2 linked regions of the Oreochromis niloticus genome follow. The protein of the gene in region 2 binds, or shares a complex with, the protein of the main gene of each other region. Links are inferred from orthologs where the notes say so. Each region holds a gene or a part of one and is shown on either strand. Other genes may lie near its edges.

Region 1 (8,041 bases), on a different chromosome or scaffold from region 2:
GGGCAGAGATACACAAATATCTGTGAGATCTATGGGCAGCTGAAGAACACACGCATAATGACATAAAAAGATATAGATAGTGTTGGTTTGGGAGAACCGCAAATAGAAGTTGACTCACTCCTTCTGCTGCATCTATGAAGAGGACAACGCCATCTGAGAGGCGGATGCTAGATGTGACCTCATCAGAGAAATTCACGTGGCCTATGGGAGGACGAGCACAAAAGTAGACTTGTTAGTTTTGTGTTTTTTGTCAGCAATATTTAGATCATTCTATAAAACCTCAAAATATGCATCTAACAACTTAAGGATCCAATGTGAATACAATACCTGGTGTATCCATTATATTGAAAAGGTAGGATTTTCCTCTGGAGTCAGGCAGGACCATTGTGACAGGGGTACTTTTGATGCCAACTCCTCTCTATAAAAATGGATCAGGTAAAAAGCAAGGGAAACATTGATACAGTCTTCTAAAGAAGATATTCAGGCTGAAATAGACTCTGGATACTTATAAATATTGATAGAATTATTTAGTAATGAATGCTCTGTAGCGTTATGGCAGTTAAACCAAGCCACTCACCTCTTGTTCGGTAAAGAGGATGTCTGTGTATCGGAGCTGAAAAAGTAAAACAGATCATGTTGATCTCAGCTGTCATATACAGAATTTATGTATAACAGAGTGCAAACATGTTGAATTATTGTACACAACACTCACATCCACATCATCTCTCTTCCTGATTTCTGGGTGTGTCTGCTCAATCAGGCAATCCACAAAACAGGTCTGAATGGAATAAACACATTCATTAGATTCCCGTGAGCCACAGATGGCTCTAAAGTGCAGCCATGTTATTAGCATATGCTCCAAAATGTTCCAAATCTGTTCAATTTTTCATCTTAGGAACACATGTTCGCTTGGCTACATGCTGGAGAAGAGCCACGACTGGAAGAGCATATTTAAAGAAGCCTGAGCCCGGAGCAGGAATAAGGCAGACTCTAACCTTGCCGTGGTGAAGGTGACCGCAGAGGGTGACGTTACGAATCAGCTCTGGTCCGTCCATCAGATCTGCAAGAAATCTGACGAGGGAGAAGAGGGTTAATGCTGCTTGCTAAAGACACACTATAAATGCATGAAGATGGACTAATGTGTAAAGAATATTACACGAGATCAGTCTGTGAAACACTGAATTGCATTTTCAGATGCAACAAACCACTTGAACAATTCTTACTCCATATCGTAAACTGTGGCAGGCAACTCCTGTTCCATCAGGGTGAACTGCTTGTTCTTCACAGGCTTGATGATCGGCTCTGGAAGGAGTAAAGAGAAAATATTGTGTACAGGATTATGAAAAGAAGCATTTTTAAGACTGCACTCCTTGACTATTTTTATAGTTAAAATACATCTGAAAATACAGAGAGTGAATCTGTGCGTTCAAAACATATACATTTTTCTTTAATTTTGCCCAGTATTGCAACACAGGTGTACTATTGCGCCTGTTTTCATCCATCTATGTTCTTCCACTTATGCTGCTTCCTAACAAACCCAAATTCACTGTTAAGTTCAGCTCGACCAAGACAAGACCTTCGGGGTTTCTCGTTAGTGACTACACATGTAAGAATGATTGGTCCTCATAAAGTTAAAGCGATGAGCATCTGTTACTTGACAGAAGTCTACGCATTTTCCTATCATCTTTTGTAGCTTTTTTTTTTTTTTTTTTTTTTTTATTCTTGACTAAAGTAAAATCTATTTTTAAAATAAACAAAATTTCAAAAGTAATGTTAATCATGGTGCTGGTAATTTTCTGTTGAGAGAAGGCAAAAACCTCTTTTCTGTATGTAGAAACCTTGATTTTGGTCAACAAGGTTTTTTTTTTTTTTTCATCTTTAGATAAATTTAAGCAGCCCTACCTGTAAGTGGTTGTGTATCTTCCTCCTGTACAATAGTTTCCACTTCAGGCCCATAGACCTCCTCTGCTGTAGGATAGTACTTCTTGTCCTCATGCAGGACCACCTCCATGCCAGGGACATCATCATCAGCATCCGCTGGCTCATCCTCGTCATCTTCATCACCCTGCAAATTGTAAATACCACAAACTCATGTACTCACTGCAAACACGAACTTCAGTACTACCTGGTAATTACTGCTGGTTCTTGAGTGTTAAGCATACCTCGTCGACGTCTCTGTCCTCTGCATCCAGGTCATCATCATCGTCGTCAGAGTCCAGCTCTGGACCGATGTAGTTCCCAAACTCGTCATACAAATCAGCCTCCATATCGCAGAGAACTAAATGAGGGGTTGATATGTCAATGAGCAAGTGCATTTGGTGGCAAAGTTCATTTTATAAATACGATCCACTGTAGCATACAAAACGCATAACGTTTCAGCAGAAAAATATATAGGAGAGGAAAAAACGACGAGATATTTAAAATGTATAATGTATCTTATTGCTGTTTAAGTTAGCCAAAACGTAACGTGTCAGTGAGTCATCAATAACACATCAGTAACTTCCTCACTTTAATGCTTCACTAGAAAAGGAAATTTACTTTTAATATAAGTTAGCTTTAGCTTGTTTTTGTCTGCCAGTGGCGGTTAACATTCATGAGAAAGTATATACCACTGTAAGTCACCGCTAAAGCGAATGCTAACGCTAACCGCTGCACAGCATGCAGGGACGCAGTTCAGTTACTTTTATAAAGTTCACTCGAGTTTTCTGTCCACAGAGAATCAGCACAGAAAATGCATCTTGACTAAGACGTTTCCGTTTGATATAAGCAGCTCTTCTATTACTGCACTAGCGATCCTAAGACGACCATGCTAGCCGGCTAACAAGCACAGAAATGAATGGCTTGAAAGCGACGTTTGAGTTACGTTGTTGTTGTTCAGAGATTTTAGTTCAAGATAACTCAGTGCTGCATGCTGCTAAATACACGTACCTGTATCCTGTAGGAATCACTTAATTATCGATTTCGAACAAACTGAAAGTTGTGTTTATAAGCAGACGAGAATATATTATTCAAAGAGCGCCATGCGCACCAGACGCTTCCGGTTTTCTTCTTCAGCTGTTTAATATGAAGGCGGTTAACAATTTATGTTAAAGCTCACTACTGCCCCCATTTGGGCTACAAAGCCACTACTGCACACGTTTGCAAAACGGAGGGTTCATTGCTACATCGCTTCACCATCTACAAATGGCACTTGCTGCAAAATAAAACGTGTGTACTCACAGAGCATTTATGTAATGATTTGTTTTTATTTTTATATCTTCATTGACGTCCGTGTGCAATTGTTTCCCTCAGGTGATCCTCATATGTAACTACAACTTCCTCTATTTTTAGAGTTATTTTGATAACTACTTTCAGAATATGTTAGCCGAAAGACTCAGAAAATGTAAACGTTACCGTGTTGTAGACATAAATCTTAATTGGTGACCTGAATGAAGACCTTAACAACATCGCGTATGTAGTTACACCCTTTAGCCACAAGAGGGTACTAGACACGAATGAATATGCTCGTGAGGAGATAAAAAGGAGATGACAGTAAAGACATATATTGAAATATTTTTTATACACTAAAACTCAGGCATGCCTTCTAATGAAGAATGAAAATACTTTTCTAACAAATAAGAAAGTATAAGACGTCATTCTGGAAAATATTTCATTGGTTTATTGGGTTTTAATGTGGCTTTCAGGTGTCATTTCAAACATGTCATTTTTAATTGCAGTCTCTTTCAAAGGATTTCGTAATTGTTATGGCATGCAAATTGTGTGTTTGTGATGGGAGTTAAAGCCGTCTAAAATTTCAGACGAGTTATATCGTAGCAGTTGTCAGCGTTGCAACAGAAAAAGTGACACTATGGCCCGCCTTTATTGGGGGGGGGTCACTGCTGCTGGTGGATTTTGGCAATGTGATAAAACGTACACAGACACAGTTTCAGTCGATGGCTTTATTCCTGCTGGTGTTGATAGTTTCAGTAGGCGAAGCCTACACAATGAAGACAGGCTGATAAACAATAACACACACTCTTGATACACGGTCATTCATACAGTTCTCAATTAGACAGAAGGACAGTTTCAATGCCCTTTGCCATCAGATGACAGTGTAAGTCTGAATTTTATTTAATGAATTTAATGTTGCATATTCAAAAATGTGCAGTTTGTAACAAAACAGTTATAACTGCTATTCAGGAGCACTCAAGTCAGTTGATTGATATACTTGTCATGTTATTTATAAGATTTTTATTGACTGCTGCAGTGATTCCTCACACCACTGACCCACTTTAACATTTACGATCACTCCATGGTCCACACTGAAGGATATTTATTAATCGGATGCTCTCAAACTTTATAGTTATACTGAAATATTCTTTAATATGCTTATATCATTACATTTGATCTTTTTCCCCACTTTGGGTAACAGCTGAGGTCTTGATGTCTAATGATTAAACCGAGTTTCTATTTCAGGACTGACCTCGGGAACAAAAACGTGAGATTCTGGACTGAGGCACGTGTTGGATGCCAGATAGACACAATGACCCTCGCAGATGGTACAAATTATCTTATTGCCTTGCACAACAATTTCTGGGAATATTTTACCTGAGAATATGACATAAAGTGTCAGCTGGCCCCTTGATTACCCCCCTCTGTGCTACACTCTCTCTCTAAGTGTGTGACCCTTTAATCTGCCACCAGTTTCCGGAGCCGCTGCACCACATCCTCCGCGCTCACCCAAGGCACCGTGACAGCCTTGAACTCCCCTGGCTGGGCTTCGTGGGTCTCGGTGATCAGCCGGTGCATGGGGAAGTCTCTCCGCGGGAAGGCCACGTCGCGGGGACCGAGGGAGAGCGCGGGGCAGAAGTCATTAGCTCCGTCCCCGACGTAGAAGATCCTCTGGTACGGGCGCCCCCGCTCCTGCGTTCTGCGGGCCACGTAGTCCCTGACGATCACCTGCTTGCACATGTTGTCTGGGCACCGGGGGCAGTCGTGAGAGTGGAAGGGCCGCAGCACCAGCCGCCCGTCCTTGTTGAAGGTCGCGGGGTTGGAAAAGATCCGGTGGAACAGCTGCCGGGCCCCGACGCGCCGGAGCCAGCACTCTATGAAGTAGGTGTTGGCGTCGGACAGCAGTATCACCTCAAAGTCCTTCGCGGGCCGGTTGCGGAGGAACTGGAAGAGGGTGAGCATGCCGGGTGTGGCCGGTATCTTCTCCATGACGCTGCGTATGTCGCTCTCGGTGACGCCCTGCTCCGCTAGGTAGGCCAGCACCCGCTGCATGTATTCGTTGTAGCGGCCGGGCTGATAAGTGTCCGTCAGCCACCCGGGGAGGTGCTGACCCGGGGCGGCCTGCACTACCATGTCATCGCTGGTTTCATCCACGATGGTCTCGTCGAAGTCAAAGAAGATCAGGAAGCGCTTGTCAGGGGAGATGTGAGCTGGGTGGGAGGCCATGATCTCTGAGCGCCTGGGTCTCTGGGGTTCCTCCTCGCCTGGGGGATGGGGTGGGACATAACAGCAGTTGAAGAACGAATCCCCCATGATTTACTACGCCACACCTTTTAATATTGCCAAGTGGCATCAAATCTCCACCCCCGCTCTTCTGCTCTCCAGCATCCCACGCAATGGGCCGCGGTGAGGTAGAGGGTGACCTTCTGGGAAACATCAATGCAATAAAGGAGGGTGTGGGGGTTTGGGTGGAGGCAAAGAAGTCAAATATAGATTTCACAGGAATAATATAATTTCAATGAAAAGGCACGGGGAAAAAAAAAATCTATAAATATAATATAAAGCAGCCAACCAGCAGCTGTGTCAGACAAGAGGCGGCAGCAAATTATGGATTTGTGGAGAGGGGGAAAAAAGGGTCAAGTATTGTGTAGAAGAGCGAAAAACAAGGTAAGACTCACTCATGCAGTTCCAGCAAGCAAGCAAAACGATAAGCTACAGATTATATATCCGGGCAGGTCAGCCCTATTCAACTTTTTCACAGGCCGTGTGCTTACCTTGGATTTTCCCTGATGTCTACAGTGGAAGTCCAGATCCAACCAGTTGCCTTCAAAGTGTGACTGGTTTGTTCCTTTATGGGGGGAAAAATACAATGAATGCTGAATCAGTGGAAAAGCAGTACGGGACAAACTTAAAAGGCAGACAAATGCCGAAAAAAGATCAACAGAGAGCTTATACAGCAAATTTAGATATAATAAAAACCCAGCACACACAAAAAAAACTTAATTAGGGATTTTAGACTTTTTTTTAAAGCTTTTTTTTTTTTTTTTTTTTTTTTTAAAGCTTACTAATTAGTAAGAACAGTCGAGGCTTCTTATCAAGCTGTTAATCTAGAAGGGTTTTGTTTTACATAACAGCAGCACAACCATCATGCAGTGAAGGCAGTGAGCGCTGGATTGAGGTTTAAAATACTACTACTAATAGAAATAATAATAATTACAGATGAGTCACCGGCTCTGGTTCCGATCCCCGGTGTCAGTCAGCTCCGATCCGGTCTCATAGAGGAGAGGTAGAGTTCCGCCGGTCGGCCGGTGGCTCGCGCACTTTTATGTGCCACTCAAACCCACCGGAGCCGCTCTGAACGTGACCGCGCCTCCGAGTCCGCCCATTTAATAGCAGCCTATTGCGCGCGTTCACGATATAAAAGGTGGAGGAGAGAGGGGATTGTGGGAGTAGGGGGAGGAAGGAAGAAAAACCCATCGAGAGTAAATAGTCCGTTCCTTGAATATAACCGTAGAAGAAATGTGCGCCAGTCTCGTAAATGTAGCCTATTAGTATTTTTACATGGCTCCAAACGTGGCATAGTCACATCCACACAATGGAGCATTTACCGAAAAAAAAAAAAAAGAGAGTGAGAGAGAGGATAAGCACTTCTGGTAGCAGTGGGAGGTCAATGGGAAAAGGTCAAGCTCTCAAGTTTTCCCATTTATACATCTTTGTGTAATTCCAATTTGGAGTGGAGAGTCAGGGATAACATCCGAATAACCCCGTCTCATCTGAATTTGCTAAAGTAACTCAGCTGCATTCACTTAAAACAGAAAACAGTTTTAATGCTCTCTCATGTCCTTACAAAGAGAACAAGCACCTTCCCTCATCCAGGATGATCTGGATTTCCGGCCAATAAGTACTCTGTTGCAAAGGCGGCACAGGGAACGGGGGCAAAGTACCACATGCGAGACATTTGTGAGGATGACTGGAACGAAATCATTTCACATCTGAGAGAAGTGTTGTGTTTTCGTTTATTAACTACAGGGAAACATTAGCATCGCAGCAAGGGAGTTTGTGTTGCCTGCTTGTTTCTCCACGAGACAGCGGTCTAGATAAAACCCTGCAAGTATACTGATTAATGAACCGCACAGCAAGTTTCAGAGCGGTGCACACTTGCCTACAAAAACATGGCATGAAGCCCTCCTCTCTTTATCTGCCTGCTGACAGACGGAGGGGGGGGGCCTCCTCCCTCCTCGACACCGCAAGGCGTAATGACTAACAGCTGGGGAGGCCGACTATTTTCAAGCCCAAATGGGAATGGAGATGTACAGACGGTGTGTTATTATCTCCCCTGCTCATGGAGTGAGCCTTGGTACCTGACCACCCACTCACCAACAGTGAGTCACTCACACTTTTCTCTACCCATCAGCCCGCTCTGCTACCTTATAGGATTATGTGACTCATTGGTGCACCACTTAAAACCTCCTATGGTGATGGAGGATACACAGTATTTTAGGAGGTATTCTAGCAACAGTAAATGCCTTAATGTGACCTCAGTGGAGGTACACGCTGTTAATGCATGAATAAACCTGGCTGAGATGCAACAAGAGATATCCAAAAAGTCAATTTTAAACACCCTCTTGTAATCTATGTAAGTAGTTATATGGCCTCAAGGTGCATTTGCATATCTAAGAGGTACAATGTGGGTACTTGACTGTCAAGATCACTGCCCTCAAATACAATAAAGCCTGCTGTGACTTTAAAGTGAACAGGAAGTGTTCACAAAGAAGAGGATCTAAAACTTCTCTTGTCAAATAAATGCTCAGCAAAGCAAAGCTGTTGTTGA
Region 2 (7,990 bases):
GCTGCTAATGTCGTAGCAGCTACAGAATTGGCCTGCACTTTCACCATTTGAAAACATTTAGTACGTCACGAAACAAAAAAATGCACCAAAGCAGACTGACGATTGTCTTGAAATTCTTACATGTGTTTTGTGTTTGTATTTTGCTTCTTTGTTTCAAATCACTGTAATTGTTTTTAATTACACTTTACATAGCATCCCAGCATTTTCAGAATTGGGTTTGCACTTTCTGGGATATGCAGGACAAGTGTTTTCAAAAATCCCTGAGAAGCAACAATGTCTTGATGACACACATTTTTTTTTAATTCTTACCTTTCACAGACATCCTTCCTAAAATTGTAAAATAATAAAACAGCTTTACAAAAAGTGGTGCGCTCTTACCCAATGGTTTTCTGTTCTTAGTCTTCATGTGGACTTCCTCAGCATCGTCTAGAACCAGATTCATGTACTCATCGAAACCCTAAGGCAATGAGACACAAGACAACTAGAACTTACTAACTAGAACTTGTGCATGCCTGATCTCACAGAAGGTTCAGCCTGAGTGGAAACGCTACTCACAGATCAGGCCATTTCAAGTTAGACTGAATCATTTTAAGCCATGCTAGGACATAATGTGGCCATACAGGGGAACAGCAAGTGACAAAGGTTTGTTCCTAGTGAGAGCTTATTTCCATCTCAATAGCAACACGCACATGGTGAAGATCACCTTCTTTGATTTCTTTGGTGCGTATAACACATTTCAGCCACTGCTACTTAGAGAAGGCTAAAGGGAATGTCAGTAAACAGTTGGCCATCTCATGGATCACTGATTATATGATAAACAGTATGTGAAACTGGGCAGTGCTCGGTGTCAAAATGATGACATACAGGAGCTCCACAGGGAACTGAGCCATCTCCACTCCTGTTCACCTTGCACACCTCAGACTTTCAGTCATGCCACCTACAAAACTAATAATTCTGCAGTGGTTGGATGCATCAGTGATGGGCAGCAGGAGTACAGAGCACTAGTGGATGATTTGGTGGAGTTGTCAGAGAGGGATCCACTGTTTCTGATTGTGAATAGGACCACAGAGATGACAGACTGCAGAAGAAAACGGGTGGCTATACCACCTGTGTCTATCCCGGGACAGAATGCTAATGTGGAGGAGGAGAACAAGTACCTGGACATCCACACTGATAACAGGTAGGGCTTGGCCATATCATACTGTTCACGGTAATACCGGTATAATGTTGGACAACGATAAGAAAATGAAATATCATGATAGAATCTGGGTAAAACGCGCATGTGCAGTGCCTTTGTTTTCATACGCACATGGCGGAAAAAGCACGGCGGCTACGGAGAATAAGAAGGGCGAAAGCGGATTGTTGAATGAAACGGATGAACCAGAATTGGTTTGTAAAAATGCTGCAACTTCAGTGGTGTGGAACTGGTTTAGCTTTCGTCCGTCAGATACACAACAAAGCACTATTTTTGGTAGCGCATGCTAGTGGGCCGTCGTTATTACCGTGTTTTTTGGAAAATATGGCACACTGCCCATGAACATCAAGCTTGATAAACTGACCAAGAACATGGAGAAAGGTTATATGTTACTTACAATAATGCAGCCTTCTATCCGCATGTTCACCTGTTCATACAACCAAACTTGGATCCGTGAGCGCTGAGAATGAGAGGGAGAATAAACTGCATACAGTTTTATCTTCAAAATTACCAGAAAACAAAACTAATCAGAAGTAAGCACAAAAAAGTTACAAGCTACTTACATTTTGCAGGTACCTGAAAATGAGATTCTGACAACCACAGTCAAGGACATACACACAGACTCGAGTTCAACATGTTTAGAGTTAAAATGTGCACATATATTGTTAATGGTTATATTCGCATTTAGTCCAAGTTATCGGAAATGTGATTCAGAATCAGAGTTTGGGTCAGGGGTTCTTCCTGGCTTAAAATTGGCTTTTGGTCTTCATATCTTGAGGGCAAACTTTATTATTTTCCCCTGATCCTTTTGTAAATAAAAATCTGTTTAACAAAGAATTAAAATATAGTTACATTTATTTTTGGTCATTTTAATTCTTACACAATATTAGCACTAATATAACATGCTGGCATTCCCATAAGAGACCATTTAAACGTGGATCCATAGCAAATAAAAGAAAACACTATTAAGTTCCACTAACAATTAACTAATTATATTTTTAAAACATTTGAGAAGCTGAAGGTAATTCCGGTTTTATAACTAATAATTGTCAAGACACTTTCGTTAGTTAAGTATTCCGTAACTTCCTTACTCTCCCACATCATATTATATTTTGGTGTTAATAACTATCGATTGGTGGGCCTAAAACCCTCCTTATGGTATCATATTGAGTAGTTTGAAGGCAGAAATTAGCCTCTTTTGCGTTCAGCTGTAACACGGAACAGCAGAGCCGGGCTTAAAGCGGCTAAGTCTATACACTAGTTTTCTGACTGGATTTCAATAAACCACATTTTTCTGCAAACATATTTCATACCCGCGTGACTTCTCTGGGTGAAACTGGTCTTCACAAAAGCTTACATGCCTTGTAAAACTCCTCTCCTCACATGAGTGACTACAAATGTTTACGAATGACTAAATGTTAGCCTAGCTGCTAAGCTATTGTAGCAACCAATTCAACCGCGCAGTGTCGTCCTGCAATACAAAAGGATACAATGGGCTGCACCATAACCTTCTGGACCTTCTGTCCTTGTCCTCTGTATGCCATTCCTACAACTAAATACCAGCTGTAGGTATATGCTGAAAAAAATTGCACCTTTTCTTAAGAGTGCACTACAACGAAACTCTCACGTTGTGAGACGTCTTCAATGGCGGGTTTCCTTTCGCGTGCTCTGCCAGTACCAGCACGGAGGTCTCGTGATGTGAAAGAGCGCCCCTGCGGGTGGGAGGTATCAATAAAAACACTAGAACAAATCAACGTTTATAACCCGAAATCTCGCGAGAACATACCTGTGGAAGTTTGCTGGCAGTGTGAAACGCGCCCAGTCTTCAGCATAAAAACAAACTAAAAGGCTATATGGCAACATCCATCATCGTCTATATGTGAGAAAAGTTAACATTCTCCAGCTCTAGGTGTAGTGTCATTTCCTGTTTCCTATGATAGAGCTATAGTATGTAACCAGAAGTGTCAACTTTAAAAGAACTTGACTATATTAGTGGGCCTCACTAATATAGATTATTCCATTGTTTATTCCATTGTTTTGTCAGTAAAAACCTGTATGTGCAGGAAAGGATTATACAAAAAAACATGTCAAAAAAACATGTCATCATGATGTCTGTGAAGGTTCTCAGTCATCCACGTCATCGTAGTCTAAGGAGCTTGGAAAGAAAAGCGTCTGGACTTCTTTAAGTTGCTTGAAGACGTTTCACCTCTCATCAAAGAAGCTTCTTCAGTTCTAGGGTCAAATGGTGGGAAATGGTCAAATCTGGGACTTGCCACCATTTGATCCTAGAACTGAAGAAGCTTCTCGGATGAGAGGTGAAAAGGTGAAACGTCGTCAAGCAACTTAAAGAAGTCCAGACGCTTTTCTTTCCACGCTCCTTAGACAATGTCATCATGATGACTTTTAATTTCAGGAATATGTACACGTTATTTAGGATCAAAACGAATCTGCACAGTATCATTTATACCAGTTTAGTCCATATCAGCTGTACTTAATTTTATTGAACCCCATTCATTATTAAGCAAAAAGCAAAAAATTCTACCGACCACAAGGCTAACCGTGACTCTTTGGATTTTACCTGCTGTGTTCTTGTGTTTCTGTTTTTACCATTTTAAAATCTTTTGGTTGTAACTTTTTTTGCTGTAATGTTATGAATAAATGATAGAAATTGTAAAAAAGCCTACAGTATGTTTGTTAGCTGAATCATTTCAGAATAGAACAGTCAGGACTTGAGTGTGTTTTTTCTTTTTATTTGAGCCATCTCATTTTTAATCAAGAGCCACAAAGTGTCTATCTGCAGGGACACAACGGTTGTGATAGAACATCAGACACTGTCTTCTTGGATGTCTCAGCCTACAGTTTGATTGTTCCCTGCAGAATAGTGATGGCCTGTCCAGCTATGTTGATTCTTCCATCATCTCTCAGTTCAAGTTCCAGCTCGCCACCACGACTGGAGCACTGGTAAGCTGCACAGACACAATAAGCAGATTAATAATGGATAAAAGTGGAACACAACATCTGTTATCAGATAAATGACACATTAGTAAAAGGCGGAGAAGGTTAAAATACGTACCCAGCATTTTCTTCTTTCCTAGTTTTTCAGACCAGTAGCTACCTAGGACTGTGTGGTTAGATCCTGCCAGAGCAAAGAATGCACAGCAGGAATAGCTTAACACTTTCTCTCATTAATAAGACACCTGTAAATGCATCCTCTTTAATCACTTTAGTCCAGCTGCTTATATGTAAATGTTTTTAGACACACAAACATGGTCAGAATTATGTTATTTGAGGAATAATGTCTATAGATTACATACTAGTAAAGAGGAATCATCTTACCAGTGACAGGATCCTCAGGGACTCCAACCCATGGAGAAAAGTCTCTCGAATAGAAGTCATATCCTGGCTGGCAGTCTGGTGATCCTGTTTCCACATGTTAGCAGTGTTTGATATTTAATGTTTGTTGGCAGAAACATTCAGTCAGTGTTGTTACACAAATTAAAATGGGCAACAAACGAGTCCACAGGATGGTGATGGCAAAGGAGAAATCAGCGCACCATTTGTCCTGTGATCAAACATTTCCCCAGAGCTCAACCCAAGTGAAGGCCTATATGATGAGTGAAATCACAGACTGTGCTCTTCATCACCATCATCATTAAAACACCAAATGAGGGAATGTTTTTGGCAGATTGCTGTTCATCCCTCTAACAGAGGTGCATCGAAGCTTTTCTGATGGTACATGGTGGGACAACACCTCACTTAAACACTTCATGTTTTGTTTCCTTTGGTTTATTCTTTACTGTTTACGTCTTCATTGTAATGGAATTACTACATGTGGTCCGATCCAGCAAGTCTACAACTCTACGAAAGGCACAGCTCCGATTACCTTTCATAGTGACGATGACGGCGCAGAATCTTCCACTTCTCTCAGTATTCTCAAGAGCCACAGTGTCAACTTTCAGATTGGTAAGCGCGGAGCTGGAGATAATACACAAAAAGCATATATACATTTACTAAAATGTGATGAGTGGGTGTAGAAGGGCAGTTGCTTGATTATTTGTTTGGGCTTTAAACATATGAATAAGCCCCACTAGCTGGGCACCTGAGAAATATAACTGATTGTTGTTGCTGAACAAATGTTTAAGATCCCATGAACAGTAGGACCACTATTGAGATTCATTTGAATTTGGCAACAAGCAAAGTTTTTTTTAACCAACATGTCACAGCTGTCAGCCAGTCGAATCAGCAGCTTCTTGGTGTTGTAGCAAAATAAAACTTCCTGAACCGGGAGGTTTCCGACTGCCGCCTGTGTCACACATGTAAAGGCAGAGACTTAGCTGAATACACACACAGGAATGTAGTTACACTTTCACAAACTGTTCACAAAAATGTGATTTCTGACCTTGATGGTGTCTTTGAAGTCGTTGGGTTCCTGAAATAAAAAGAGTTCAGAAAGAAAGCCATTTTACATACACTGTTAATAAAACACAAGAACTAGTTTATTTTACATTACAGGATTTGATTAAATTGTTCATGTAACTAAACAGGAAAAGTTTATTTTACCACTCGGGTGGGGGGATTCAGAGGAAAGTCCATGATGTACCCTTCCTCCTTCTTGGTGACGTGCAGATCTCCACTCTTGGTCTCAAACACCAGGGTGGGATTTACATTTTCTGAAGGAAAACATCCATTACACGGTTACATGCTAGCACCTCTTTGCTCCTTCTTGCAGTCAGCTGCATTGTGCATTACAGGCATCTTTAAAAATAGCTCCAGCGGCCTTTTCTACTGCACCATGATGTCACTTTTTTTTTTCAAAAACCTTTTTATGTGTAAATGTTGCATCTTACTGATGTGTTGGAATAGCACTGCTGCAGAGGCCAGAGTGGCATGACCGCACAGATCTACTTCAGTGGTTGGTGTAAACCATCGAAGGCGGAATCTTGATCCTGTTAATCACACATTTAAGACTTTTTTCAGTTTTGTTTTGGTATTAGTTTCAAATACACAGAGTTAAGCAGTGTAGATAATAATGTTAGTGATTGGCTTACATCCACAAAGGTCTTCAAGGTCAACTTGAAGGTTGGTCTACAGATCTACAAGTCTACAAGGTCTACAGATTTCAAATATGTCACATTTGACCTATGACCCTCCCCTTCAAGGTCAAGACATCTAAAGGTCAATGTTATAATAATGCTATATAGAGCTACTTAAGTGTGTTTCTTACTGCCATTGTACTGTCAATGGCACTGTGTGTCCTTAATCCTGCCTGATGGGTCTAGTTTAATTTTGCTGAAGGCTAACCTTTCGTGATTCTCTTACACAATCCAAAATTTGTAACTGACATTTCTCAATAGCTACAAAGTGCCATGAAATAGACTTTGTGGTGATTTGAAGATATTTTTCTCTAATTTAATTGTATTCTGATCCTGAAATGTCTGTTGTCTGTGGCAAAACTTACAAGTTTTAATCGTGTGACAGTGTCACATCTTCCTATGGTCACTAGCAGATATTTATGTCCTTAATAGTAACCTGAAAGCTGAACTTCTTGCAACATTTTTTATCCTAATACCAGCTATCTCATGGGAGACAGTTAGCTTTCATTGAGTGGATTTGTCCTTTTACGAATAAACTTTTTTCACTTTTTTTTTTGATAATCTCAGGCAGACTGATACAGGCTTTTTTCCTCATCATATTTGGACTATTTTAATTCCTTCTGCCTTGTTCAAACTTTAGCTGCCAGAGACGAGAAGAGCAAAGACCACATTACTCCCGCTACATTAGACTTATTCAATATAGAATTGATTTTAAACTTTGCTTTATTGTTTGAACAGCCTTACATGACTTCACTCACACCTCACTTTGTTAACAGAGCCGCTGGTTTGATTCAGACACGCCTAACTGTTCCTGCAGCTCACATCATTACAAAATGACGTGGCATTTTCTCTTACAGCCTCACAGCTGTGCAAATTCTTCACCACTACTCACAGCTTTTTTTTAAAATAGTGACTCCGTTTTTTCCTATCATACAATTTCCTTGACTCATTTATTTCACTTGTCATGTTATTCAGGTTTTCGGGTTTTTGTTGTTTTATTTCAGTCTGTTTTATTTTCTGCAACTACAATATACATGAGCTTTATTATCGTTCTTATAACTATAAAGTCATACAAACTTGTTAATCTATATTGAAAAATTTCTATCTTGCACCTATAGGGACTACTTTTAAGTTTAAGCAGTATGTGAATCATACACCATACTGTATACTTTTGAAAGAGAGCTTTCCATTACAGCATTATAATCTAAGAGGCTTTGGAATGTAGAATACCATATGTAGGCAAGTATATTTCTCCTTTTTTTTTTTTTTTTTTTATCAAGAAGCAAAGACAAAAAGTAAAAACAAAGAAACAGGGCAGGGTTCAGTCAGTGGTTGAATCATCTGTCCCCACCAATGCCAAAACCAAATCTACGCCCTTGGTGTAAATTTCACCACCGCTGCAGTTTACCCATCAGGTGGCGCCAGTAGCGGTTTTTGATATGGGCGACATGGGCGGTTCCCCAGGGCGGCGGCATAACGGGCATCGGCAAAAAAAAAAAAGTTGCTCGTACTCATGCTGCCCCGACATCATGCCAGCGCATTTTGGGGATGTCATAGGCACCGATCGGTGTTCTTGCGGCCATTTGCGGGGAGTAAGGGCGCCCTCCGTTTGCGAGGTGCGCCTGCTGCTTGCGGCACAGGGAGGAGAGGGCGTGGCGGCGGGGGATTCTCTGGCTGGCTGGAGCAGCATCTAATAACCAAC

Evidence for each region. Proteins that work in one complex are often made in the same cells at the same time.
Region 1: snrpe (region 2) and eftud2 share a complex: the UniProt entries of both Homo sapiens proteins name them as parts of the minor spliceosome. The link is inferred for Oreochromis niloticus from reciprocal best matches to the Homo sapiens genes SNRPE and EFTUD2.

Annotation. Positions count from the first base shown.
Region 1 is NC_031969.2:27,313,086-27,321,126, reverse strand, and holds the start of eftud2 (116 kDa U5 small nuclear ribonucleoprotein component), read right to left. Parts: upstream 3,084-8,041; 5' UTR 2,929-3,083; intron 2,279-2,928; 5' UTR 2,268-2,278; coding exon 2,163-2,267; intron 2,066-2,162; coding exon 1,903-2,065; intron 1,303-1,902; coding exon 1,224-1,302; intron 1,072-1,223; coding exon 996-1,071; intron 779-995; coding exon 713-778; intron 614-712; coding exon 578-613; intron 419-577; coding exon 328-418; intron 202-327; coding exon 119-201; intron 1-118. Other genes in the region: putative phosphatase phospho1, read right to left, coding at 4,669-5,523. UniProt on the Homo sapiens protein: Required for pre-mRNA splicing as component of the spliceosome, including pre-catalytic, catalytic and post-catalytic spliceosomal complexes. Component of the U5 snRNP and the U4/U6-U5 tri-snRNP complex, a building block of the spliceosome.
Region 2 is NC_031970.2:34,218,236-34,226,225, forward strand, and holds the start of snrpe (small nuclear ribonucleoprotein E), read right to left. Parts: upstream 3,011-7,990; 5' UTR 2,740-3,010; coding exon 2,686-2,739; intron 1,786-2,685; coding exon 1,759-1,785; intron 1,656-1,758; coding exon 1,593-1,655; intron 458-1,592; coding exon 379-457; intron 1-378. Other genes in the region: phenazine biosynthesis-like domain-containing protein 2, read right to left, coding at 4,049-4,161, 4,269-4,331, 4,532-4,615, 5,079-5,170, 5,410-5,498, 5,595-5,624, 5,756-5,788. UniProt on the Homo sapiens protein: Plays a role in pre-mRNA splicing as a core component of the spliceosomal U1, U2, U4 and U5 small nuclear ribonucleoproteins (snRNPs), the building blocks of the spliceosome.